4 linked regions of the Anolis sagrei genome follow. The protein of the gene in region 4 binds, or shares a complex with, the protein of the main gene of each other region. Links are inferred from orthologs where the notes say so. Each region holds a gene or a part of one and is shown on either strand. Other genes may lie near its edges.

What was found.
Region 1: PIGQ (region 4) and PIGP share a complex: the UniProt entries of both Homo sapiens proteins name them as parts of the glycosylphosphatidylinositol-N-acetylglucosaminyltransferase (GPI-GnT) complex. The link is inferred for Anolis sagrei from reciprocal best matches to the Homo sapiens genes PIGQ and PIGP.
Region 2: PIGQ (region 4) and DPM2 share a complex: the UniProt entries of both Homo sapiens proteins name them as parts of the glycosylphosphatidylinositol-N-acetylglucosaminyltransferase (GPI-GnT) complex. The link is inferred for Anolis sagrei from reciprocal best matches to the Homo sapiens genes PIGQ and DPM2.
Region 3: PIGQ (region 4) and PIGY share a complex: the UniProt entries of both Homo sapiens proteins name them as parts of the glycosylphosphatidylinositol-N-acetylglucosaminyltransferase (GPI-GnT) complex. The link is inferred for Anolis sagrei from reciprocal best matches to the Homo sapiens genes PIGQ and PIGY.

The regions. Positions count from the first base shown.
Region 1 is NC_090023.1:71,911,265-71,919,288, forward strand, and holds the start of PIGP (phosphatidylinositol N-acetylglucosaminyltransferase subunit P), read right to left. Parts: upstream 3,016-8,024; 5' UTR 2,878-3,015; intron 1-2,877. UniProt on the Homo sapiens protein: Part of the glycosylphosphatidylinositol-N-acetylglucosaminyltransferase (GPI-GnT) complex that catalyzes the transfer of N-acetylglucosamine from UDP-N-acetylglucosamine to phosphatidylinositol and participates in the first step of GPI biosynthesis.
Region 2 is NC_090031.1:2,448,829-2,456,168, forward strand, and holds the start of DPM2 (dolichol phosphate-mannose biosynthesis regulatory protein), read right to left. Parts: upstream 3,008-7,340; 5' UTR 2,990-3,007; coding exon 2,972-2,989; intron 366-2,971; coding exon 276-365; intron 1-275. UniProt on the Homo sapiens protein: Regulates the biosynthesis of dolichol phosphate-mannose. Regulatory subunit of the dolichol-phosphate mannose (DPM) synthase complex; essential for the ER localization and stable expression of DPM1.
Region 3 is NC_090025.1:20,335,914-20,341,138, forward strand, and holds PIGY (phosphatidylinositol N-acetylglucosaminyltransferase subunit Y), read right to left. Parts: upstream 1,384-5,225; coding exon 1,168-1,383; 3' UTR 527-1,167; downstream 1-526. Other genes in the region: PYURF (protein preY, mitochondrial), read right to left, coding at 1,424-1,565, 3,166-3,356. UniProt on the Homo sapiens protein: Part of the glycosylphosphatidylinositol-N-acetylglucosaminyltransferase (GPI-GnT) complex that catalyzes the transfer of N-acetylglucosamine from UDP-N-acetylglucosamine to phosphatidylinositol and participates in the first step of GPI biosynthesis.
Region 4 is NC_090034.1:27,568,316-27,576,134, reverse strand, and holds the start of PIGQ (phosphatidylinositol N-acetylglucosaminyltransferase subunit Q), read right to left. Parts: upstream 3,018-7,819; 5' UTR 2,942-3,017; intron 2,936-2,941; exon of another isoform or gene 2,857-2,935; intron 1-2,856. Other genes in the region: NHLRC4 (NHL-repeat-containing protein 4), read right to left, coding at 6,965-7,414. UniProt on the Homo sapiens protein: Part of the glycosylphosphatidylinositol-N-acetylglucosaminyltransferase (GPI-GnT) complex that catalyzes the transfer of N-acetylglucosamine from UDP-N-acetylglucosamine to phosphatidylinositol and participates in the first step of GPI biosynthesis.

The sequences.
Region 1 (8,024 bases), on a different chromosome or scaffold from region 4:
ATAAGTTTTAAGACATATAATTTAATACAAAAGTTAGAATAATCCAGACCATAGTATTTCTAATTTCTGTATATGAAATTAGACCTCAACGGCGGAGCAGGCGGAGGATAACATGGCACATGTTACAACGGCTGCGAAGGCGGAAGAAGGCTGCAACAGACTGAGAAGCCATGGTCATTGTGTTAAACTACATCACCAGTGGAACCTCATCTGTGAAGACTGTGTGTTGTTCAGTTGTGCACTGACCTCCACACATTAAAAAACCCACGCACAGGCGTCTTCCAAAGAAAATAAAAACAAACCAACCAAAGTCCCATGGCGATCAGCGAGTGGCGACGGGGGCAGGACTGTGAAATCTGGAAGCCCCTAGTCACAGACTGGCACATGGGCGGTGGGTACGGACTCAGTCGTTCTACCTCAAGGTCCGAGGCAGTTGAGTAGTTCGGCAGCTGTATCCGCGACTGAGCAGCCCTATTGAGGACCCACTCTGCTCACCCCACACGGGGAGGGGGCTAGAAAAGGTGCCCTAAACATAGTCTGCCTCACTTATCCCTGACTGGACTGCCGCGTCCAGTGGGGTCACCATCCTGCGGCCAAAAAAGAAAAATGAACTTCGGTACGTGGAACGTACGGACACTGATGGACAACAGTGACAGTGAACGCCCCGAACGCAGAACTGCCATCATCGCAAGGGAGCTGGGACGCTTCAACATCGACATAGCAGCCCTTCAGGAGACCCGGAGAGCAGGAGAGGGACAGCTGAAGGAAGAAAAAGGAGGCTATACCTTCTTCTGGAAGGGACTGCCTGAAGAAGACCAAAGAATGCACGGAGTTGGCTTCGCTATAAGAAATGATCTGATGAAACATCTGTCCGAAGCACCCACTGGCATCAACGAACGACTCTCCACCCTCCGAATTGATCTTGCCAAAAACCAACGGGCAACCATCATAAGTGCCTATGCACCAACACTAGACGCTGATGAAGACATCAAGGAGAAATTCTACTATCAGCTGGACACTGTCCTATCGGGGATACCTAAGGAGGACAAAATCATTCTCCTGGGGGACTTCAATGCAAGAGTCGGGCGAGACTTCGACCTGTGGCCAGGCACCATAGGAAAAGACGGGGTTGGAAACAGCAACTCGAATGGCATGACAGGTGCTGACGACTGCTGGACCGACCACAGGCTAATCCGATCCACGATGGCTATCAAGATCGCCCCCAAGCGCAGACTCCAAGGAAGAAAGACAAGGCGCAAAATGAACACCCAAGCCCTTCAAGAGCCCTCCAGGCGAGCCCATCTCCAAACTGCACTCAAGGACCATCTACCCACAGTACACCCCGAAAATGTTGAGGAACATTGGAACAAACTGAAGACCTCCATCATCCAAGCCTGCGAAGAAACTATTGGATACCAAGCCAAGAAACATCAAGACTGGTTTGACGAAAATGACATCGAGATCCAACAGCTAATCGACAAGAAAAGGAAAGCCTTCCAAACATGGCAGAGAGACATCAACTGTGCTGCTAAGAAAAAGATCTACGCCAGTGCAAAAGCTGAGGTCCAAAGAAGGACAAGAGAACTCAAGAACATCTGGTGGACAAAGAAGGCTGAAGAAATCCAACACCTGGCAGATACCCATAATGCTCAAGGATTTTTCAAAGCCACAAAGGTCATCTATGGGCCAAGAAACCATGGCATACAGCCTCTACGCTCATCAGACGGAACCAAACTCCTGAAGGACCAAAAGTCAATTGCACTACGTTGGAAAGAACACTACCAAAGCCTCCTAAACCGCAGCTCCAGTGTGGCCGAAGAGGTCCTCTCACAAATCCCGCAACAACAAACCAGGGATGAGCTTGCAGCACTGCCTAGTTTGGAAGAAGTCAGCAATGCCATCAGCCAACAAAAAAACAACAAAGCCAGCGGACCGGATGGGATCCCTGCTGAAATCTTTAAAGAGGGAGGACCTGCGCTGACACACCAACTCCACCAGCTCATAGAAAAAGTGTGGGTGACCGAGAAAATCCCAGCAGACTTCAAGGATGCCACCATCATCACCCTCTTCAAAAAAGGGGAAAGAACAGACTGCGGAAACTATCGAGGTATCTCCCTTCTAACCTCTGCTGGAAAAATCCTCGCAAGAATCCTTGCAAACCGCCTTCTGCCCCTCTCAGAAGACACCCTCCCAGAATCCCAGAACGGCTTCCGCCCCTCCAGAGGAACTGTGGACATGATCTTCACTGCACGACAGCTCCAAGAAAAATGCAGGGAACAAAACCAACCTCTGTACATGGCATTCATCGACCTTGCAAAGGCATTCGACACAGTGAATCGCAGCGCTCTCTGGACCATCCTCCAAAAAATCGGGTGCCCAAGCAAATTTGTGAACATCCTGCGGCTCCTCCACGATGACATGATGGCAACAGTCTTAGATAGCAATGGCTCCCAAAGTGACCCATTTAAGGTGGAATCGGGTGTCAAACAGGGATGTGTTATTGCCCCAACTTTATTCTCCATCTTCATCGCCATGATACTACACCTTGTTGATGGGAAGCTTCCCACCGGAGTGGAAATCATCTATCGGACAGACGGCAAGCTATTTAACCTCAGCAGACTGAAAGCCAAAACCAAGGTCACAACAACATCTGTTATAGAACTCCAGTATGCTGATGACAATGTCGTCTGTGCGCATACAGAAGAAGATCTACAAGCCACTCTCAACACCTTTGCAGAAGCATACACAAAGCTTGGCCTGTCACTGAACATCGAGAAAACCAAAGTGCTGTTCCAGCAGTCACCAGCCGCCTCCTCTCCAATGCCAGAGATACAGCTTAATGGTGTAACATTAGAAAATGTCGACCATTTCCGCTACCTTGGCAGCCACCTCTCCACCAAAGTCAACATCGACGCCGAAATACAACACCGCCTGAGCTCTGCAAGTGCAGCATTTTCCCGTATGAAGCAGAGAGTGTTTGAGGACCGGGACATCCGTAGGGATACTAAGGTGCTTGTCTATAAAGCTATTGTCCTCCCAACCCTGCTCTATGCCTGTGAGACGTGGACTGTCTACAGACGTCACATGCAGCTCCTGGAACGATTCCATCAGCGCTGCCTCCGGAAAATCCTGCAAATCTCCTGGGAAGACAAGCGGACAAACGTCAGCGTGCTGGAGGAAGCAAAGACCACCAGCATTGAAGCAATGGTCCTCCAACATCAACTCCGCTGGACAGGCCACGTTGTCCGGATGCCTGACCACCGTCTCCCAAAGCAGTTGCTCTACTCCGAACTCAAGAACGGAAAACGGAATGTTGGTGGACAGGAAAAGAGATTTAAAGATGGGCTCAAAGCCAACCTTAAAAACTCTGGCATAGACACTGAGAACTGGGAGGCCCTGGCCCTTGAGCGCTCCAGCTGGAGGTCAGCTGTGACCAGCAGTGCTGCAGAATTCGAGGAGGCACGAGTGGAGGGTGAAAGAGAGAAACGTGCCAGGAGGAAGGCGCGTCAAGCCAACCCCGACCGGGACCGCCTTCCACCTGGAAACCAATGCCCTCACTGCGGAAGAAGATGCAGAGCAAGAATAGGGCTCCACAGCCACATGCGGACCCACAGGGAAACCCATGATGGAAGACCATCTTACTCGTCCAACGAGGGATCGCCTAAGTAAGTAATATGATTGTGAAAGCTAGACAACAAAGAAAGCAGACAGGAAAACAACTAATTTGAACTGAGGTTCTGGAGAAAAGTTGTACAGACGAATATTTGCTTCACTAGGAGCAAGGATAACTAAACAGGCTGTAGTAATTTGGTCATATCATGAGACAACATGGCATTGGTAAAGTGGAAAAGTGGATACAAGTGGATTGATTCAATCTAGAAAACCACAGCCCTAAATTTGTAAAATCTGAGCAGAGCAACTGATGACTGGAGACCTTGGAAATCTCTCTCATAGGATCACCATAACTCTTAAGATAACAGTTAAAGACAATGAAACAAAACTAATTTACAGCATGGTTAAGTCTCTAGTCCTTGTAGAAGCCAAGATACGCAGCAAAACAGAAATGTTCTGTCAATTTGTTCTGCAGGAAACAAGTCCGCTTAGGTGAGAAAAACAAGAGTAAGAGATGTTAGCGGTGCTGCACAAAAAAAAGCAGAGGTCACACCTTTGGACATGAGGCAAGATGAGGGAGTAGAGAGTTAAGAGAGCATGTAGCGGTGCATGAGAAACAAGCAAGAGGCATACCACAAAGGAATAAGGCTAAGCAAGTAGAAGTGATGGAAGGGTGAGTGGTTGTAGTGTCACCGTACAAAAAAGGAGGGGTGCGTTAAAATAAAGAGAGGTGGGATTGGAAAGGAAAGTGACAGATGGAGGGAAAGAAGGGTGAGAGGTATAGTAGCAGGATCTGAAGAGTAGAAGAAAGAAATGGTGGTCTATGTACCGGAGAAGGAGAATGTCAAAAGGTCAGTAAAGGGGAGAAGAGAATATTATTAAAAAATCATTCTGGTATACAATATTTTATCTAAAATAGATAAATCAGTCATAATTTGTTCACTTGATTATTCAATAATAATGTTGTCTATACAGCAGGATTTTCAGACATCAACAGTGGAATGTTAGATATAACATTAAAAAAAACAGTTGATAAGGTTTTGTGCAAATAAATCTGGAAAGGTGAGCAAATGAAAAGAAATAACCATTGATTGTGACTGATCATTCTATTTACAACTTAAAAATTGTATTCACACTTGTCCCCTATAGCTATGTTTAAGCGTATATAAATGGCCCTGTAATCCAAGGTATGTGGCTGAGCAGTTATTTACAGTCCTTGTCTTCTGATTGGCTGGATTTGGGGACTGAGGTAATAGCAACCACATCTTTTTAGAGTACTTCATGATAGACAAAAATAAAACAAAACAACTTGAACCCACAAATAACATTCCAACTCATTTTATTAACCAAATATGGCAAAGCGAAGGTAAGCTATCACCAGGAAAAGACACATTGATACTTGCAAATGTTAATTGGAATGTTGGATTTAAAACACTGAAGAACACTGATTCAATCTATTCTTGATTGAATTAGTTGCAGGAGTATTCTCTTGCCAAATGTGACTGTAAATATCAAGGATATTTCAGAAAATGGTATGATAGTGTTGCTTTCTTGTCTCTTCAGAAAATTGTATAGTAAAGAACCTATCTATATTTAACAAAAACAAAAGTGTTGCAATTTTTACAAATGATATCCATAATAATTTTAAGTATTTATGGTGAAGTTTGATATGGAAAACACTAAGAAATTAAAATTTGACTCTGAGACTTTAATACAGCAAATAAGGTGCTAGCAGAGTCGCAAGGTGTCTCTTTAATAGTTGTACAGAATAGGGAATTTTTAGCACTTGGTTAAATTCTCTCTTCTACAAAGCCAAAGTATGAGAGCCTTTATTTTGATTGGCAACTCTGGTAGAATTAATTTTTTTCCAGTTGAACAGGTATATGTTTTGTTTGTGATTCCCAATGATGTTACTACTTAGGCAAGTGTATGTGTTACTGCTTGTACTTCCAGATGTAAAACTGGTTCTGCCTTGGCTGGAAATGGCTAGGTTTCCCCCATCATGCATATTCTGAAACTAGATGTACACGAATACAGCTTCATTTGCAAAAGAGGAATTGCATACATACTGGTCCATGCACCGATCATGAAATCTGATGTGTTTCCCTTACCTTTTGATTTCCCCCTCCTTTCTCTTAATTTGGTTAAGCTTTTTTCGGTTAGGTAGGTCATATTGTTTCATTCCTCATTCCTGAATTTATTTGGGTTGTGCTCCCATGATAAGAATGATTTACAGGATAAGGTGGGGTTTGAATGATTAAAGAAATGAATGAATGAATGAATGAATGAGGAAATAAAATATAGAAAATATTATACGTGGTCACAAAAGCTTTGTACTTATAGACAGATAACCATGTTCACAATATTAATTTGAAATTCAACTCTAAAAGGGAAAAAAGAGTCTGGTGTATTACAGCCCATTAGATTAAACCAGAGGTCTATGAAGTCCAGCAAGAACATATTGTTGAATTAAACAAGAGATCTATGAACCTACAGCATTCTGTTTCTGTCTGTAGCCAACTAAATACTTCCAACAAACGTAGCAAGGTATCATTGAGGAACATCCTTCAGACTTTGCCATTCCAGCTGGTGAATTTGGGAGCAAGAAGCACAATGCTGGGGATACTGGGATCTTGTAGTACAGATGTACAATGTATGGACATTTTAAGGAAATTAGGAACATTTTTTTTCTCCATTTTAAAGAGAAATGTCCAGACAAATTGGGGGAAAATGATGCTATCAAATATCCTAAAGACACAAGATACTGTATAATCTTTGAAGCTCAGCAGGGCATCCATTTTTCGTATTGTATAGGAGATCGCCAATGAATACCAGGTGACATAGGCTGTGCCTCAGAAAAAGAAACTGGCAAACCACCTCTGTGTATTCCCTGCCTAAAGAAAGCCCAATGAAATTAATTGAGTCATTATCAGTTGATAGCCAGCTTGAAGACACATACATATGCACTATTATTTATGACTAAAATTATTTTGTTACTTTAAGAACATAAACTATATTGTATGCATAATGTGCTACAATTATAGTTTTTAAAATATAAATTACAATACTGTACTTATTCTATTAAAATCAAATAATACAGTTACACACTGATTTATCTTTTTATAACATATTTTGTTATAACATAACACAAATGTAGCAAACTATCAACATTAGTAAAACAAAGAAAACTATTTTGTCTCCATAATGTCAAGAAGACATAAAGTGTTCAGTCCCATAAAAGAACTGAAAAAAGACAGGAAGACCAGAATTTGTAATGATCAGACACATCTTTTCTAGCAGATAACTTCTCTTCTTTGCATTTCCTTCACAATGAATTGATATTTTAATGAAGGTTTAATTTACCACAACTCTGGGATCTCTTTCTTAGCTTGTTACTATTAGTTCAGATTCAATACAGATGCTGCATATGTGAAATAAGGTTTACTTCCAGTGTGAATCACTATGCAAATATCACCTAATGTATTACTTCATTGCACAATTAGTTTGTTCAAACTATTTTTAATATTAAATGTTTTTAATTAATTTTAATAATTTCAAAAATAAAAGAAATTCTTTTCCTAAAGCCTAGCTAGAAAAAAGGAGGGACTTCACATAACAGTAAAATATTAGCTTGCCCATCCATATGTTATTTTATGCATAGTCAAGTGCTAACCACCCAAGTGTCTGTATTTCTTTGTTAGGCAATATTGATCTCTCTCTTTATTACACTGGAGTTTGTAAGTCCTTATTTAGCAAATTATTTCTAGAATTTTGTTGCAATGATAATGACAGGGCTGAGAAAGGTGGTATACAAATCCAGCAAATAAATAAAGTGTATTAACTAGGACCAAACTTTTTCCATCACAGGAACTGAAACAGAAGCTTGAGCTGAAATTTGAGTTGGATTCAGAGCAGAAGTGCAATCTGCAAGGCTTCATGCTCCATATATAGCTTCTGTTCATAGGTATTGTTCCATTCTGTACCTCAACAGGATCTGTGATCTACCTGCAAACAATCTTGGGTGTCTTATCCAATTTTGTTTTCAGGATTTAAGATAACAACAACACATTAAACTTTATTTACACCCCACCCCATTCCCCTGTGGGGACTCAGGACAGCTTACAACATAAAAAGGCAAATATTTAACGCCACCCAATACAATGAATTAAGCAATACAAATGAATAACATAAAACAATTCTATACTATACTCGCTCATTCAAATGCTGGCTCTTTTAACAGATAGCCACAGAGGTCTGTTTTCATAATTAGAAAAGTTATAGAACTTTTGACTAAACACAATCTCTTTGTAATATTGTAAAGTTAAGGAAAAGCATGTCATTAAATCAAACTTTTCATGACTTGTTTTCATTGACAAGTGGTCTTTTATCAAATTTATCCAATATCATGCTTA
Region 2 (7,340 bases), on a different chromosome or scaffold from region 4:
ACAGGGGTTTAACCCACTGTGCCACCGGGGGCTCCTATATATAATATGAGAATTGAAGACGTCCTGAATATATATGACATAATATATATAAAATATATTAATATATATAATTATATATTATATTAATATTAATATTACTATTATTATTATTATTATTATTATTATTATGAGAATTGGAGGGGTTCTGAATATTCACATGGGAGGGATCAATGTATTCTGCCTTTATTTATTCCTTTAATATGGGATCAAAATAAAAAAAGCAAGCCAGTCCATACCAGTACGATGATCCAGACGGTATAATAAGCGAAGAGGAGAAGGCTGAAGGCAACCAAGCCATAGCCAACCAACTGGTCAGTTGCAGTGGCCTGAAAGGGAAAAAGGAGAATCAATGCTGACCCCTTGTCTATCTGTCTGTCTATCTGTCTATCTGTCTATCTATCTATCTATCTATCTATCCATCCATCCATCCATGTGTGTCTATCTATCTATCTATCTATCTATCTATCTGTCTGTCTATCTGTATATCTATCTATCCATGTGTGTGTATACAATGTATGTATGTATGCCGGTTTCTACCACCAAGGCTTCTCCGTGGTTTGGTGGATTTGGACCAATTTTGGCACTTTGTCCCTTCATGGTCCAGCTATAAAGGAAGAAAAGGGCCAAAGCGGATTTGCTGTGCCTCAGTGAAGGACCGGCTGTTGCTAGGTGAAGTGTCCTGCCTGCTACAAGGAGACATGTATATGAAGGGAAGAATGAAGGGAAAGAAAGGAGATGAGAAGGAAGGAAGGAGCCCTGTGAACCATTGCGGAGATTAAGATCCTCCGGGGAGGCCCTGCTTTCCATCCCGCCATTGTCACAGGCGCGATTGGTGGGGACGAGAGACAAGGCCTTCTTGGTGATGGCTCCCCGGCTATGGAACTCCCTTCCTGGTGAGACCAGGTCAGCCCCCTCCCTCCTGTCCTTTAGAAGGATGGTCAAAACTTGGCTGTGGGACCAAGCTTTCGGGACAGGGCAATAAAGTGGCAATAGGAAAGATGACCGGGCCAATTAGATTTGACGCTGATGACTAGGACAGTTTTAAATGGTGTATTTTAATATTTTGATCATTTTTTTTTTATATTTATGTTTTGTATGTGAATCTGTGTTTGCCGTGTATATGTTGTGCTCCACCCTAAGTCCGCTTCGGGGTGAGAAGGGTGGAATATCAATGTTTTAAGTAAATAAATACATTTTATAATGTGCTCATTTTAGTCAAGCTGTCAATACAAATCATCTTGTTTAGTGTGGCCATGTCTTACAGCAGTTGTCACCACAGATCATCGGGCGTTGTGTTCTGAGTTTTAAAATGTTGTTTTATATATGCTATAGTTTTGCTCTCGTGTCTTGTCCTCTGTGTCTATTTTATGCGTGGTTTTAGGCACTTTGCATCATATGAAAGACGCCCCAAGTCCCTTCGGGGAGATGGAGGCTGGGTACAGAAATAAAGTGACTGTCTTTATTACACACATACTTATATATATATATATATATATATATATATATATATAAAATGGCAGCGAATGGGGAAGCCTCTTAATATGCATGGAATATGTTCTCTCTTCCAAAACATCCTATTTCTGTTTCAATTTTATTTTAGTGCCTGTATTTCTTCATTTTGAATCACAGGGAATGTAATTAAAAAAAAGATATTTTTGAATTAATGTTTTGAAACATGTTATTGTGTGTGTGTATAATTTTAGTCTCTATATATAATCTATTATTTTATTCTATGAACACATATATATCATAACATTTATGTATTTAATATTAGTCTCTCTATATATAATCAAAATTCTATATATACATATTTATTACTTTATTCTACACACATACATACATCATAATATATATGCATATCATTTTAGTCTATATCTATATAATCTATATTCTATACATACATATACATTATATTCTACAAACACATATATAATATATATGCATATCATTTTAGTGTATATATAATCTATATTCTTTATATATATATTATTCTATACATACATATATATATATCAATAATATATCTCGACTAAAATTATATACATATATATATATTATTGATATATGTGTCTGTAGAATAAAATAACATATATGTATATAAAGAATATAGATTATATATACCCTGACATTACATGCATATATATTATTTTATTCTATACACACATATAATATATATGCATATCATTTAATGTATATCTATATCTATATCTACGTATATATTTTATTCTATACATACATATATATCAATAATATATATAGACTAAAATTATATACATACATATATATATATATATATTATTGATATATGTGTCTGTAGAATAAAATAACATATACGTATATAAAGAATATAGATTATATATACCCTAAAATGACATGCATATATATATTATTTTATTCTATACACATATAATATATATGTGTATAATTTTAATGTATATATATATTCTTTATATACATATATATTTTATTCCATACATACATATATATATATATCAATAATATATACAGACTAAAATTATATACATATATATATCATTGATATATGTCTGTAGAATAAAATAATATATACGTATATAAAGAATTTAGATTATATATACACTAAAATTATATGCATATATATTTTATTCTATACACACATATAATAATATATATGCATATAATTGTAATGTATATCTATCTATCTATCTATATATAGATATCCCTTATATGTATATCTTTTATTCTATACAGACATATATATCAATAATATGTATAGACTAAAATTATGTACATATATATATATTATATAAAATAATATATACGTATTTAAAGAATATAGATTATATATGCACTAAAATTATATGCATATATATATATTATTTTATTCTATACACACATATAATAATATATACATATTGGTTATCTTTTGGAAATCTAAATGTATAATCCTAACCAAAGCAACCTCTCCCATTGGCTTTTATTCCCAGACTCACCATTGTGAAGTTCTATTTCCTGCTTGGGAAGACTTCCTTCCGGTGCCATAGAGGCGGAAGGAGAAAGAGCGGTCGCAGAGCCATAGAGGTGGGTGCTTTAACCGCCGCGCATGCGCACAGCAGCGGCTAAGAATGGGTTTCTAGCCTCTCCGTGGCAGGCCTCCCGCGCATGCGCACAGCAGACTTCCGTCTCCTTCGGAGGCTTCCGCGCACGCGCACAGAGTCCAGGCTCGGGTCATAGACTCCTTAAAAGAGGAGATGCGCGCCTTGTGACCCTAGACTCATGAAAGAGAAGAGTCATTCGCAGGCCTGCAAAGCTGAGGCTCATTTGGAAACCGTGTATGGATGGGCTTGAGAGGGAACTGTCCTTCCAAATCCTGGAAGGAGACTCGGTTTGCTCCATTATGTACCTTTCATGTTGCAGACTGTGGCTGGAAGCCATGCAAGGTTGGACTGACTCATGTCATAGAATCCTAGAGTTGGAAGAGCCCTCCTGGGCAATCATCCAGTCCACCCCCATTCTGCCAAGAAGCAGGAATATCGCATTCAAAGCACCCCTGACAGATGGCCATCCAGCCTCATCGAATCCTTGAGTTGGAAGAGACCTCCTGGGCCATCCTCCAGTCCAACCCCATTCTGCCAAGAAGCAGGAATTGCATTCAAATCACCCCTGACAGATGGCCATCCAGCCTCTGTTTCAAAGCTTCCAAAGAAGGAGCCTCCACCACACTCCCTCCGGGGCAGAGAGTTCCACTGCTGAACGGCTCTCACAGTCAGGAAGTTCTTCCTCATGTTCAGATGGAATCTCCTCTCTTGTAGTTTGAAGCCATTGTTCCATTGCGTCCTAGTCTCCAAGGAAGCAGAAAGGAAGCTTGCTCCCTCCTCCTCCCTGTGGCTTCCTCTCACATATTTATTATACATGGCCCTCATCATATCTCCTCTCATCCTTCTCTTCTTCAGGCTAAACATGCCCAGCTCCTTAAGCCGCTCCTCATAGGGCTTGTTCTCCAGACCCTTGATTTGCTCCCTCCTCCCTGTGGCTTCCTCTCACCTATTTATACATGGCCCTCATCATATCTCCTCTCATCCTTCTCTTCTTCAGGCTAAACATGCCCAGCTCCTTAAGCCGCTCCTCATAGGGCTTGTTCTCCAGACCCTTGATTTGCTCCCTCCTCCCTGTGGCTTCCTCTCACCTATTTATACATGGCCCTCATCATATCTCCTCTCATCCTTCTCTTCTTCAGGCTAAACATGCCCAGCTCCTTAAGCCGCTCCTCATAGGGCTTGTTCTCCAGACCCTTGATTTGCTCCCTCCTCCCTGTGGCTTCCTCTCACCTATTTATACATGGCCCTCATCATATCTCCTCTCATCCTTCTCTTCTTCAGGCTAAACATGCCCAGCTCCTTAAGCCGCTCCTCATAGGGCTTGTTCTCCAGACCCTTGATTTGCTCCCTCCTCCCTGTGGCTTCCTCTCACCTATTTATACATGGCCCTCATCATATCCCCTCAGCCTTCTCTTCTTCAGGCTAAACATGCCCAGCTCCTTAAGCCGCTCCTCATAGGACTTGTTCTCCAGACCCTTGATTTGCTCCCTCCTCCCTGTGGCTTCCTCTCACCTATTTATACATGGCCCTCATCATATCTCCTCTCAGCCTTCTCTTCTTCAGGCTAAACATGCCCAGCTCCTTAAGCCGCTCCTCATAGGGCTTGTTCTCCAGACCCTTGATTTGCTCCCTCCTCCCTGTGGCTTCCTCTCACCTATTTATACATGGCCCTCATCATATCCCCTCAGCCTTCTCTTCTTCAGGCTAAACATGCCCAGCTCCTTAAGCCGCTCCTCATAGGACTTGTTCTCCAGACCCTTGATTTGCTCCCTCCTCCCTGTGGCTTCCTCTCACCTATTTATACATGGCCTTCATCATATCTCCTCTCAGCCTTCTCTTCTTCAGGCTAAACATGCCCAGCTCCTTAAGCTGCTCCTCATAGGGCTTGTTCTCCAGACCCTTGATCATTTGAGTCGCCCTCCTCTGGACACATTCCAGCTTGTCAATATCTCTCTTGAATTGAATTGAAATGTCATGGGTGAAATAACTTGGGAGCACATGGTTCTTTTTTCCTTTTGCATTTAGCACCCAGAAAATGCAAGAAAAAAAAGGCAGAAGGTTATTTGATGGCAGGCCCGTTAACAACTCCTCGTTTGCAATTCCTAGAGAACTTCCCATCTTGTTTATTTATTTTATTTTAACCTTGTTTTTCATCCCTAACTTTCCCTAGTAAAGTCCAAGAGTTTCTCTGTCTGTTCCACAACAGCTGTCACTGGGTGAAGTGGCCCTTCACGATGTCACTGGGTTGGGTGGCCCTCCACAGTGTCACTGGGTGAAGTGGCCCTCCACCGTGTCACTGGATTGGCTGTCACTGGATGAAGTGGTCCCCCATGACGTTACTGGGTTGGCTGTCACTGGGTGAAGTGGCCCTTCACGATGTCACTGGGTTGGGTGGCCCTCCACAGTGTCACTGGATTGGCTGTCGCTGGATGAAGTGGCCTCCCATGACGACAGCTAGTTAGCTGTCGCTGGGTGAACTGGCCCTCAGTAGCGATGCTGGGTGAGGTTGCCCTCAGTGATGTTTGTGGGTTGGCTGTCACATGTGAGGTGGCCCTCTGCGATATTGCTGGGTTGGCTGTCACTGGGTGAAGTGGCCTGAAGGAAGCGTGAAATGTCTTATTCTTCTACTTTGTATGTGTCCTCTCTGAATTGCAGATGTTAGGGAGGGAAAGGAAAGAAGGAAGGAAGGGAAGGCAAGAAAAGCAAGAGAGGGAGGAAGAAAGAAAAAAAGAAAGAGTGAAATGGAGGAAAGAAGGAAAGAGAAAAATGGAAAAAGTGAGGAGGAAGAAAAAAGAAGGAAAGGAAAGCATATGAAGATGGAAAGAAAGAAAAAGAGAGGAAAGAAGGGATAAAGGAAGAGAGGGAGGAGAGAAAGAACAAGGAAAGAAAAGAAGGAAAGGTGCATGACGGAAGCAAGAGGCGGAAGGAAGGAAAGAAGGGAGGGAAAGGAAAGAAGAAAGGGAGGGAAGGCAAGGAAAGGAGGAGAGGGAGGAAGAAAGAAAAAGAAAGAGTGAAATGGGGTAAAGAAGGAGAGAGAAAGATGGAAAAAGGAAAAAGTGAGGAGGAAGAAAAAAGAAGGAAAGGAAAGCATATGAAGACGGAAGGAAAGAAGGGCTAAAAAAAGAGAGGGAGGAAAGAAAAAGAAGGGAAGAATAGGAGGAAAGGTGCATGAGGGAAAGCAAGGGAAGGAAGGAAGGAAGGAAAGGAAGACAAAGGGAGAAACGGAGTAAGGATGGGAGGGAGGGAAAGTAATGAAGGAATGAAAGGCAAGGAAAGAAAGAGAGGAAGGAAGAAAGAAAAAAAAGGAAGTGTGAAATGAAGGAAGGAAAGAAAGGTGGAAAAAGGAAAACATGAGGAGGAAGAAAAAAGAGTGAAATGGGGAAAGAAGGAAAAAGAAAGATAGAAAAAGGAAAAAGCGAGGAAGAAAAAAGAACGAAAGGAAAGCATATGGGGATGGAAGGAAAGAAGGGCTAAAAAAAGAGGGGGAGGAAAGAAAATGAAGGAAAGAAAAGGAGGAAAGGTGCATGAGGGAAAGCAAGAGAAGGAAGGAAGAAAGGAAGGAAGGAAGGAAGGAAAGGAAGACAAAGAGAGAAACAGAGGGAAGAAGGAAAGTAAGAGAGATGGAAAAGGGAGAAAATAGGCAGGCATTGGTCCCATTGCGTACACATGAAACGAAACGGTAAGGAAACAAACCAGGCCAGGTGTGATGTACCAAAAAGAAAAAGAAAAACCACCTTTATTTGTTTTTCTCCCCCGCAAAAAACGGTAATGACATTTGACATTATATAGTGAATTTCCTCTTTATATGTGTGGCTTCTCTACAATAAGGAAGGAACCGGAGAACAGAGTACAAACACGGATCATCGGTCGAGTCAAAGACGGCACAGCATTCCGTTAAAACAGGAACGGGCCTATTCCGGCCTCCTGGTGTTTTGGACTACAACTCCCATAATTCCCAGCAGCCGGTCACAGCCTCAGGCCTCTTCTTTTTCCCCCTCAGCCGCTTAAGCGGCTGAGGGGGAAAAAGAAGAGGCCTGAGGCTGTAACCGGCTGCTAGGAATTATGGGAGTTGTAGTCCCAAACACCGGGAGGGCCAGAATTGGCCCGCGTCTGCATTAGAAAAACAGAAACACCAGAGGAACCTCACAAACCATTCGAAGGAAAAATAACAATAATCAAAAACTGAGCAGCCGAACTAAATGCGACCTCTAGACTTCCTTTTAA
Region 3 (5,225 bases), on a different chromosome or scaffold from region 4:
GATGGAGATGAGCACCTCTCCCTAGAGTCAGACACAATTAGACTTAATGTCAGGGGAAACCTTTACCTTACTAGTAACATGGTCTAGTACTTTGATCATTGGACTAGCACTGAAGAAAAGAGTTTGATTCCCTGGGCCGCCATGGAAACTCACAGGGTGACCTTGTCATTTTCTTAGCCTCATAGGAAGTTTAATACAAAGAGGGTCTGTGATCAAAATCTGTCAAAAAATCCCTTAAGAACTGCCATAAACTGGAGGGAGGCACTCATCAGCAGAACAAATGTGTATTGCCATTTTTAAAAACAACCTCTGGGCTGACTCTAATGCTGGATATTATTTAGTGGAACTACAAGGGCAAAACCCATTCTCGCTGCAACCCTCACCCCTATAAATCCAGTTCTGAATGCCTGGAAAACCCCTCTGGAGCCAGATTAGTATGGCACAAAAATTGTAGGTAAGGGGATTATCCCCTTTAAGGTGAAAATCCAAATAAAGCATTGAGCAAAAAAATAATAACATATCTACCTGGTTTTTCAGTTGCTTTATTAGTGGGAAATAATTGCTTTCGGTTTCCTTATAATTCTGTTTTGATCACAATCTGTTAATATCACTCATTCAAGCATAAAAGCTATGGGTAGAAAACAGTGCAATTTAATGAAAGCAAAATCCTGAGTACTATTATCACCATGTCCAACAATGTTAAAAGACATCCTGGAAACACAATAGCGCCATGACAGAAAATCCATTTAGGGTGTCATCAAGTATTATTCTGCACTAAATGCCATTCTTCCAAGGAACTGTGAAAACGGCTTGAAAGCATCTGGCAACACTTTAAAATTCTACCATGGTATATTTCTGCACAGGGTTGACTATACAGGTCCAAAGATGGAAATGTAGTCACTTTCTTGTGGGCAAAGCAGATAGCTCGTGAAATTACAGTGTGTTTCATCCACCTTATCTGTATGATCCATCATCATTCCTATGGATTTGGTTTGGAACTAGGTTTGCTAGAGTTGGAAGGGTAAAAGCAAGTTTTCTATTCGCTTGTGTGGATGATTATTTCAATATGTTTAGTCCACTACTTGTTTGGGAAGACTTCTGATCCTATTGCAGACAGATAAAAAGAAAGCACATATTTTAGTCCATGTCCACCCATTTCAGCCTAACCTAGTTGTGGCGAAAGAGTTTAAGGCCCATCCAGGTCCAGAGGTGGAAGAACACATAAACTGGGATGGTAACTGGAAGCAGCAGGCTGTAGAAACACAGGCTGGTTGTACTTGTGCAACCCTGAGGGAAGTTTTCATCAACGCTGGCCGAATAAAACAGTCCAGCTAAAGACAACACCGGGATGAGTACAGTCATCGTAGGCAGAGACAGAAACATTTTTCTTCACCTGTGGATTTCTTATAAGAAGAAAAAACGTCTAGGTCCGCTCAGGTTCCCCTTCCTGCTTGTCTTTGCCAATCATCCTGGCAGCCTGGGGGATCATATTAGGAATGCCGTCAGTGATGGGGTAGGCAATGCCCAGCTCTTCGTTGATTAATTCATTGGTGGACTCCTCATACCTAGGAAACATAACAAATATTGATATGTCAAGCCAGCTATTGCCATTTCTTTAAGAATATGGTACTGGGACAAAGAAGTATGCAAACCAGTCTTTCAGTAAGATGTAATATGCTAGTGGCAATAATAATAATAATAATAATAATAATAATAATAATAATAATAATGTGTCAGGCATCCTTATAACACCCCACTAGGTACAGTTAGACCAGGCACGGGCAAACTTTAGACCTCCAGGTGCTTTGGACTTCAACTGCCACAATTCCTAACAGCCGGCAGGGTTTGTAGTTTCACTAGATCTTTCACTTTCTCTGTCCAAGAATGCAGGTGTCTCATTAAACTACAACTCCCAGTATTTGCATAACATTGAGCCCCCGGTGGCGCAGTGGGTTAATGAAATATAACATAATACTACTAATATGATATTATAATTATATATTTTATATTACATGTAATATTACTAATAATACAATTTAATAATAATAATAATAATAATAATAATAATAATAAAAGCTTTATTTATACCCCACCACCATCTCCCCAAGGGACTCAGAGCGGCTTACATGAGGCCAAGCCCAACAGGACACCAGTAAACAAAAGGTATGGTATAAGTACACTTATACCATACCGTATTGTACTTAATGGTATAAGTACAATATAGTAATATACAATACTGATATTGTACTATGCTAATAATATATATTGTATGTATGTGTGCGTGTGTGTGCGTGTATCTTGTAAGCTGCTCTGAGTCCCTTTCAGGGTGAGGACGGCATATAAATGTCATAAATAAATAAATAAATAAATAAAATCAAACTCCAAAATCCAAACAGTAAATAAAGAACAATAATAAACAACACTAAAAAAATTGGGGAATTCCAGACAGAAACCATCAGGGTCAACTAATCACCTCCCAACAAAGAATCCCCCCCAGGCAGGAAGCATCCTGACCTTGAAGCTGCAAGGCCATTCAATGCTAATCAAGGTGACCAATTGCAACATTCACACTTTCCTCAAGCAGACCAGAGTTCTTTTTCCACCCTTGGACATTATTCCACAGATAAACCCCACTTACCTAGTTTCCCACAAAGGATTCCCCCGCTCCCAGGCAGGAAGCAGCCAGACCTTGAAGCTGCAAGGCCAATCAGTGCTAATCAAGGTGGCCAAATTGCAACATTCACACTTTCCTCAAGCAGAGAAGAGTTCTTTTTCCGCCCTTGGACATTATTCCACAGATATATAAACCCCACTTGCCTAGTTTCCAACAAAGCTCACCGCTATAGATGTAGGCGAAATGTCAGGAGAGAATGCTTCTGGAACATGGCCATACAGCCCAGAAGCTTCACAGCAACCCAATGAAATGCCATTTTAAAAAGATACAAAAAAAAACTTGCAAGATCCACCTGCACTGTAGACTTTAATGCAGTTTGATACCTCTAACTGTCAATGGGATTCTGGGAGGAGTAGTTCCACAAGGTCTGCAGCCTTCTGTGCTAAAGAGGGCAGGCGCCCAACCAAACTACAAACAAGCAGGATTCCATAGCATTGAACCATTGAAACTACACCGATACAGCCTCTAATGGGAGCCCATTGGCTTCTCACCTGAGCGGCTTCTTGGACAAGGGGCAGACGAGGACCTGGAGGAGGCTGGCCTCGAAGGGCGGCTTCTGCTTCTCTCCCTCGGGGCCTTCGCCTCCGTTCCCGGCCGCCGTGGAGAAGAGAGCCCGAGAGCCTTTCCTCCAGAGCGGAACGCAAGCGGAGAGGCGCAGGAAACCCAGAGGCAGCATCGGCATGATTCCACGGTTGCACGCCTTCACTGCCAGCGCCAGCTCCAAGGTCAGCTGGGAAAGGAAGTCAGCTTCACCAGACTGCTTCCTCCGAATGAGTGTGCTGTCGAAAGCAGTCCCTTGGAAAGCGAGAGCCAATGTTCTAGGTTCCTACAAAGAACTAAAGATTGGGTTTAGTTGGGCTGGCTGGCCATGTTCCATCTCTGAGGTTGTGAAATCTGTTGGGAAACTAGGCCAGTGAGGTTCATATATCCGTGGAATAATGTCCAGGGTGGGAGAAAGAACTCTGGCCTGCTTGAGGCAATTGGCCAGCTTGATTAGCATTGAATGGCCTTGCAGCTGCAAGGTCTGGCTGCTTCCTGCCTGGGAGGGAATCCTTTGCTGGGAGGTGATTAGCTGGCCCTGATTGTTTCTTGTCTGCAATTCCCACGTTTTTGAGGGTTCCTTATTTATTCTTTTGATTTTAGAGTTTGATTTTATAATAGTAATAATAATATGTAGCTTCAAGGTCTGGCTGATTCCTGTCTGGGGGGAAATCCTTTGCTGGGAGGGGATTAGCTGGCCCTGATTGTTTCTTGTCTGGAATTCCCCCGTTTTTGAGGGTTGTTCCTTATTTATTGTTTTGATTTTAGAGTCTGATTTTATAATAATAATAATAATAATAATAATAATAATAATAATATCCAGGGTGGGAGAAAGAACTCTAGTCTGATGGAGGGAAGTATCAATGTTGCAATTGGCCAGCTTGATTAGCATTGAATGGCCTTGCAGCTGCAAGGTCTGGTAGCTTCCTGCCTGGGGGAAAATCTTTTGCTGGGAGGTGGTTAGCTGGCCCTGGTTGTTTCTTGTCTGGAATTCCCTCGTTTTTGAGGGTTATTCCTTATTTATTGTTTTGATTTTAGAGTTTGTTTTTATAATAATAATAATAATATCCAGGGTGGGAGAAAAAACTCTGGTCTGCTTGAGGGAAGGGTCAATGTTGCAATTGGCCAGCTTGATTAGCATTGAATGGCCTTGCAGCTTCAAGGTCTGGCTGCTTCCTGCCTTGGGGGGAATCCTTTGCTGGGAGGTGATTAGTTGGCCCTGATTGTTTATTGTCTGGAATTCCCCCGTTTTTGAGGGTTGTTCCTTATTTATTTATTTATTTATTTATTTTAGAGTTTGATTTTATAATAATAATAATATCCAGGGTGGGAGAAAGAACTCTAGTCTGATAGAGGGAAGTATCAATGTTGCAATTGGCCAGCTTGATTAGCATTGAATGGCCTTGCAGCTGCAAGGTCTGGCAGCTTCCTCCCTGGGGGGAAATCCTTTGCTGAGAGGTGATTAGTTGGCCCTGATTGTTTCTTGTCTGGAATTCCCCCGTTTTTGAGGGTTGTTCCTTATTTATTGTTTTGATTTTAGAGTTTGAATTTATAATAATAATAATAATAATATCCAGGGTGGGAGAAAGAACTCTGGTCTGCTTGAGGCAAGTGTCAATGTTGCAATTGGCTAGCTTGATTAGCATTGAATGGCCTTGCAGCTTCAAGGTCTGGCTGCTTCCTGCCTGGGGAGGGAGTCCTTTGCTGGGGGGTGATTAGCTGGCCTTGATTGTTTCTTGTCTGGAATTCCCCCGTTTTTGAGTGTGTTGCTTATTTATTCTTTTGATTTTAGAGTTTGATTTTATAATAATATATTTTTGTTGTGTCAGGAGCAACTTATTTATTTATTTATTTAGCAATTTTGTATACCAGACTTCTCCCCTCTGTCGAGGGACTCGGGCCGGTTTCCAACAATAAAATCACAAAACAATAATTAAAAACGTCATATATCATATTCAATTAAAACGTTAGAACTGCAATTCGCTTCTGGTGTGAGAGAATTGGCCGTCTG
Region 4 (7,819 bases):
AATTGAGGAGACATCAGTAAATCTCTTTTAACATTACCATGAAGAAACAAGAAAAGAAGTGGAAACCTAGTCACATTTACTCATTACATGTCATTGCCTCTGGTTTTTTCCTGTCAAAAGTAGGACAAGCCACGCCACAAAGCTTTCTAAAGGAGGATTTTTCATTGTGCCCTTCTCACACAATTACGAAATGTTCTCCCCAGGGCCACCTATCTGGCCCCAAAATGACCATCCTTTTCAACACTGGATTAAACTATTTTTCAATTTGCACTGATGGGATGCGACTGGACAATTTTTAGCCAATTAACTATGCCTAAAATTTGTTCCTGAGGGAAGGGATACTGACCAGATACAGAGGAAAGGCTTTTCTAGCTTGCTTTATAGCAGAAAAGTTTTTAAAAACCCTCTGAACATCTAGTTATAGGAAACACATGCAAAGCAATCATTTAGTTACTGGAAAAATTGCGGTGCCTTGTTTCTCAAAGCAGAACCCAAGACAAATCCAAATGGCATGTCTGCCTGGAAAGAACCAAGTTCCAACATTCCCTCAGCTACAAAGCACACCAACATAAATGTTCATGTCTACAGCCCACATAATCAGTGCATACAAGCATATGTCCTTACAAAAATAACCAGTCTTTAATGTGCACAAATCTTTGTTGTTTTTGAAACACAGTCTCATGGAAAAGTAGTAAAAGCAGGTTTCTGCATTTTTTTGTTCAAGTGGGCACCTCCATATACAGGCAGTCCACAAGTTACAGACAACACAGGTTCTGTAGGTTTGTTCTTACGTTGAATTTGTATGTAAGTTTGAACAAGGACATTTTTAAAGTATAATTCCAGATAAATATATAGATAGCATAGGGAAGGGTTAACACTCCTATGGTGTTTCCTTTGCTGTCTGTGCCACTGCTCAGAAGATTTCACCTCATTTTCCATCCCTGGGAAAACTGGATTGTGAAGAATTTGGCTGGTTGTGGAAAAAAGGACCGGAGAAAATTAGAGACCAGACCCCCTTTCCCCCTGATAACAACTCTTCCAGGAGAGGATTTCCTTTCCTTTTGAAGGGGAAGATTTTTTTCATTTCCTGTGGTTTTGCCCCATTCTTATGCAGGAGCCATTTGTAATCGGGTGTTTGTAACTTGGGAACAGCCTATATCTATATATCTGAGATAAATATTTGGAAGGGACCCCCAGAGGCCATCCAGTCCAGCCCTGTTCTTAACTAGGAGCCGTTTGTAAATCGGGTACTTGTAGCTCGGGAACTGCCTGGAATTGAATCCATAAAAGTTAAAAAGCAGTAACGTGGAGGGCAAGAATCCTTGGCTCAATGCTCATCCTTAGGGACCATTGCTAATCACGGATGTGTCACAATGACCTAGCCTCTGTGGGAGAGACCTTTAGAATGAATAAATGGAGCGTGTGCGTGCGTCACAGCCAGGACATGTTTCTCCGCGATCCTGATCCCTTGCAGAATGCGATGCGTGAGTCATGTGGCTGCGGAATGGAAAGAGCCAGCCGCATACTCTGACATCTAAATTGCACTGCATTCCCCTCTCCGTGGATGAGGAGGAAGACAGGGCAGTCTGACCTGAATGATGGTCAGACTGGATGGCCTTTGGAGAGCTGAAGTTGGCCCAGGCCTGTTTTATACTCTATTTGTAAAGCTGTCAGGTAGTTTCTTAGGACCCTTCTACACTGTCATATAAAACCTAGATGATCTGCTTTGAACTGGATTATATGGCAGTGTAGAAGGGGGCTGAAGGCCCTTCCACACATCTGAATAAAATCCCCCATTTTCTGCTTTGAACTGGAATATATGGTAGTGTGGACTCAGATAACCTAGTACAAAGCAGACATTGTGGGATTTGCTGCCTTAATATTGAGTTATATGGTTGTGTGGAAGGGCACTCAGATAACCCAGTATAAAGCAGAGAATGTGGATGATCTGCCTTGATATTCTGGGTTATATAGTAGTGTGGAAGGGCCCTGAGTCTGCACTGCCAGATAATCTGGGATAAACAGAAAACCTGGGATCGGATCCTGGGATATAGGGCCTAACTGGAAGGGCCCTGAGGCCCCTTCCACACAGCTGTATAAAATCCCACATTATCTGCTTTGAACTGGGATATTTGGCAGTGTGGACCCGGACAATCCAGTCCAAAGCAGTTATTGTGGATGATCTGCCTGGATATTCTGGGTTCTATGGCAGTGTGGAAGTGTCTTGGGTTGAAAATGCCGGGACCTCAACTGACATACAGCCCTTCTACACTGCTATATGATCCAGATTAGCAGAGCAAATAATCCACGTGATCAGTTTTGAACTGGATTATTATCTGTAGTCACTTCCACACAGCTGCATAAAGTCCACACTGAAATGGACTCAGGGCCCTTCCACACCACCATATAAACTAGAATATCAAGATAGATAATTCCATAATATCTGCTTTGAACTATGTTCTCTGAGTCCACACTGCCATATAACCCAGTTCAAAGCAGATATTGGGCCCTTCCACACAGCTCTATATTCCAGAATATCAAGGCAGAAAATCCCACATTAGTTGAGTGTGGACTCAAATAGCGCAGTTCAAAGCAGATATTGTGGGGTTTTCTGTCTTGATATTCTGGGATATAGGGCTGTGTGGAGGGGCCCACTGTGGGATTTTATACCGCTGTGTGGAAGGGGCCTCAGATAACCCAGTTCAAAGCAGATATTGTGGTTTTCTGCCTTGATATTCCGGGTTACACAGCAGTGTGGAAGGGCCCTGAGTCTACCGGCTGTTAGGAATTGTGGGAGTTGTAGTCCCCAACACCTGGAGGGAGGACCCAAGTTGGCCCATGCCTGGTCTAAGGTACCTTAAAGCAGATCATGTGGATGATCTGCCTGGATATTCCGGGTCATACGGCAGTGTGGAAGGGGCCGGTTCAAAGCATGACTTACTTTCACCAGGAGGCAGCAAAGGCCGCGCGCCGCTTGACATTGGAGCCACTTCCGGCGGCGAGGGGGGCGGTTGCTAGGAGACGCGGTCCGGCTCGGATTATCATCCGGGCGGCTCCCTCGCTCCCAAAGGAAAGGTTCCGGCCAATGGAGTTCCTCCTCAACCTGGCCCACAGAAAGGCGCCCAGTGGTTGGAGGGAAGGAGGGAAGTCAGGTAGGAGAGCCCTGCTATTAGGAAAGCAGCGCCTTGGGTTGCATCCACCATAATGCCAAGTTTTTAACGATGTTTGAGGAGTTTTGGGGTTTTTTCCCCTATACATTATAGCTGTATTCTCAATTTGTTTCTGACATGATAAATAAATAGATAAATATCCCGAAGGAGACTCAAAGCGGCTTGACATAAAAGCATTAGCATTCAATTTATTATTATTATTATTATTATTATTATATTTATTTATACCCCGCTTTATCTCTCCCAAAGGAGACTCAAAATGGCTTGACATAAAAGCATTAGCATTCAATTTAATAATATTATGTAATATTATTATTATTATATTTATTTATACCCCACTTTATCTCTCCCAAAAGAGACTCAAAATGGCTTGACATAAAAGCATTAGCATTCAATTTAGTAATATTATGTATTATTATTATTATGTATTATTATTATTATTATATTTATACCCCGCTTTATCTCTCCCAAAGGAGACTCAAAGCTGCTTGACATAAAAGCATCAGCATAGACATTAAAATATTATTATTATTGTATGATATTTATTTATACTCTGCTTTATCTCTTCCCAAAGGAGACTTAAAATTAAATCATTAGCATATGATTTTAATTACACAAATATATGCAAACATTAAAGCAGGATTTAACTGTGAAAGAATTCACAGTTAAAAAGCATTAAAATATGTGCAATGTTAAAAACCACAATCTCTCTCTGTCATTTAATAGCAAAATTCAAGCAATTTCAACTAGAACTAAATAGATAGATAGTAGAGTATCAAGAGATTCTTTCTTCTTTTCTTGCATACTAACCTGACGAAGCCTAAATATTCCAGAACAGCAAATGTAAGAGAGCAATCCTTCAAATAGCAGAGAAATGGTCTGCTGTTTTTGACAGTTACAAGAGTATTCTTCCAGCAAAACTAGGGAGGGATATATGCAAAATTCAGATCTTTTTACAGCAGACATAGGTGGGACACACATTTCCCTTCCAATATAATGCCTGCTTTTGTGTGATAAGCCTCTGGCGGTACGAAGCAATCTTCACCTTTGCTTTCGCACAGTTTTGCTGGACATTGATAGTGCTGTAGATGGCAACCATGCCTTCCTTCCTTCTAATCTTATTTGTAACCATATAGCTCCGTACAATGCAGTTAAACAAAGTTATGAAACTGCATTCTATAGTAAGTAAGTAAGTAAAACTTTATTTCTTTCCCGCCCTATCTCCCCATGGGGACTCAGGGCAGTTCACAACATAAAAGACAAACGTTCAATGCCGTAAAATACAACAATAGGCGAAAACAATTTAAAATAAACGAAACGTCGCATTCGACAATAAAATAGATCACATGAAAACAATAATAGTAAATTACAGGATGTTAATAAGACAAAGTTAAAAGCCATGTCTAAATTCCATTCCCTATTTCATAGTGCCAGATCTTTTAACATTCGCATCACCATATGCCTGAGTGGCACTGTTCTGATCTCCTTCAGGAGGGAGTTCCAGAGGCGAGGGGCATGCCAAAGAAATGAACCATATTACATATATAAACTTCTACATTCTAACCCCCCCCCCCCCGAAGACTTATGATTTAGAATTACAGCTTGTGCATCCCTTCTTTGGAAATCCAAAATTGTTCAGATAGACAGCTGAGATGGTGGCAACCTTGCTTTCTAATGGACCAACCTTTTGTTTACTGCACAAAGTTAGTAAAAAATATTGTGTATAAAATCATCTCAGGCTATGTGTATAACGTGAATATGAAACATATATGAAGCCCATCTCCAAGGTATCTTGTTATGCGTGCATTTAATAATGATAATAATAATTATTATTTTATTTTTTACCCGCCCCTTCTCAAGGCTCGAGGTGGGTTACAGAATAATTAAAACACATAAACATTGCAAAAACACTACAGATGCACATATTAAAACGTATTCCTATAAAAGCTACATATCAAAAAGTATTTCTATAAAATAGATATCAAAATTCACAAAATAGAGATTAACAAAGCACACACATTTAAAAATCATGCTTAAAGACTGACTGTTGTATGCAGATACAAGTATTCCAAAATCTGGAGAGAGAAAAATAATCCAAGATCCAAAAAATGTTTGGTCCCAAGCTTTTTGGATAAGGGATACGCAGTTAAGACAAACATGCCTGATGAGATGGAGAAACACACAAATCATCGTTTTCTACAACAAAGAGCAAAACATAACACAAACTGTTGTAAAATAAGGAAACGTTCAGGAGCCGGCCTTCTTTGCTCCATATATTTGGACTCAAGCAGGCTAAATGGTTTATCCAGTGCTGTTTCTGGCCTGAGGACTCTCCCTTTTTTTTGGTGTCATTTTGAATGTTTCTTTCCATGCCGTTACTGTATCCTGTTGCGTCTTTTCTGTTTACTTAAAAGGAATCATGGCACAAAAAAATTAACGTGCTGTTGTAAGATCAGTTTCATCTCCAGAGCAGTTTGATGCATAATTGGAGAAGTGCACATACCAGCTGCATCTACACTATACAATTAATGCAGTTTAACACCACTTTAATGACCATAGACTTCATTCCACTGAACATGTCAAGTGTTTGGAAGAGTAGGTTTACCATACGGCTCAGGCATACTCTGTTTTGAAATTAAATGGATGATTTCCCTACCTCCATCACACACTAGCAAACTCTCCATTTTAATCAGGAGTTCTCAGTGGATTTGCCATCACATTGCAGGGTATTGTTCCTGTCCACTGTCCCGCTCCCATTTTCTTTGTGAAAAGAAATACCTCCTCTCCTGGGCTATATTTTTGGTTCATGGGTTATCAATGTCATTTCCTAATTGGTTATATCATGAACACATGGGAAAAGTTTATTAAATTGCAAAATTTTTGTCTTTGCAGGAGGGACAGCATCCTGCTTTGGCACATTTTGCTCTAGTTTCTCAATGATCCTTCTCTCTCTCTTTCTCTCTCTCAGTTTCTTTCAGTTTCTTTCACTCTCTCTCTCACTCACTCTCACACACACACTTTCCTCATATTGGAAGAAGGAAAAAAGCAGGGCAAGAAGGAGAGGAAGAGGAGGTAACACATGGCACACACAATACATAGAAGAAAAGAAGGAAGGAAGGAAGGAAGGAAGGAAGGAAGGGGAGGAGGAGGTAACACATGGCACACACAACACATGGAAGGAAGGAAGGCAAGCAAGCAAGCAGGCAAGCCACCAGAAAGTGCAAGAGACAGAAAGGAACACAGCAAACTGCCAATCTTTCCTCCTCCGTGAGCAAAAGGTAATCGTAGAGTTTTTTCTCAAAAGAGCATTTCGGCTCATCCCACAAATTGCTCAACTGTATCATTTTAAATCACATGACAGAATTGGCCATTTTGCCCACCTCTAGCTGGATAATTTGCAAAAAAGTCATTTGCCAAACAGCTTAGAAAGCGTCTGAAAAGATAACCCTTTGCAACCCCTTTTAAACACTAAGATCTCTCTACCCTACACTTGCTAGAGCCTACATCATGTGATGAGCCCAGTAGGTTGCCTTTTCTTAAGTGGGTGGCTCTGTAGCATTTAATGAATTTGATGAAGTGGCAGGTCTCAATGCTATAAGATTCTGGGGTCTGTAGTTTGGTGAGGCACCAACATTCTTTGGCAGAGAAGGCTAAAGATCTTGTGAGACCTTATAAACCACAACTCCTGTGATTCCATAATTAAAGTGTCAAACTGCATTGATTATGCAGTGTAGATGTACCTATTCAGCTCGTGAGGCAGAGTCATAAATGTAATGTGGGAGCATGGAAAAATCCTACTTTGCCCTCCTTCTAGGAGTTACATTCGGACTGTCACTGGGTGTAACGTCAGCACTGTAATAGGGCCGTACGCGGTATTTGAAGACTTTGATGGAATTATCCCCACTGTCAGCAACAAAAAGCAAACCCTGTGTGGAACAAGCAATTCCTGCTGGTCTCTGTAGACCTTTTGATACCAGGCAGATTGGGGATCCGCTACTGGGAAACAAGTACACTTTCTGGTGTTGTTCATCCGCCACAAGAATGTTGCCTTCACTATCGGAACAGATCCCAGCGGGGTTGCCAAAGTGGTGGTGATACTTGCTGCTGATGGAAGAGAGCGGTTTGTTAGTGTTACTGAACACCTTGACGTCCCCGCACTCTTCGCTCACCGCAAATCCTCCTTCGGGGGCCGGGCACACGTAACGTGGCCCTTGAAGGTTGGAGATGGAGCGGACACCCTGCATCTTGAAAGCGCGGTCTAAGGCGAAACAGTGCACTTGGCCTTCTGTGTAGTCGGCCACCAGTATCTTTCCGGACCCATCAACTCCAATCCCCCTGGGGGCAGAAAACTTTCCAATGCTTAGCCATTCGCCCTTGGAGAACTTAGAGTGATTGTTGAAGATGCGGATGGTTCCGTTCACCATGTCTGTCACGGCCACCAACCCTGCCCTGGTGAGGGTCACATCCTCAGGCAAAAAGGTGCCCTTCTTTTTCCATTCTATACAGGGCAGGGACCGAAATGTGTGGCCCAGGCGGTTGAGGGTGTGGACCCTGGGGGCATTTTCACTCGTCACATAGAGAACCCCATCAAGGGAGCAGTGAATTCCACATACGGCTCCGTAATGGTTGCCATTGGGGTTTGGCATCCG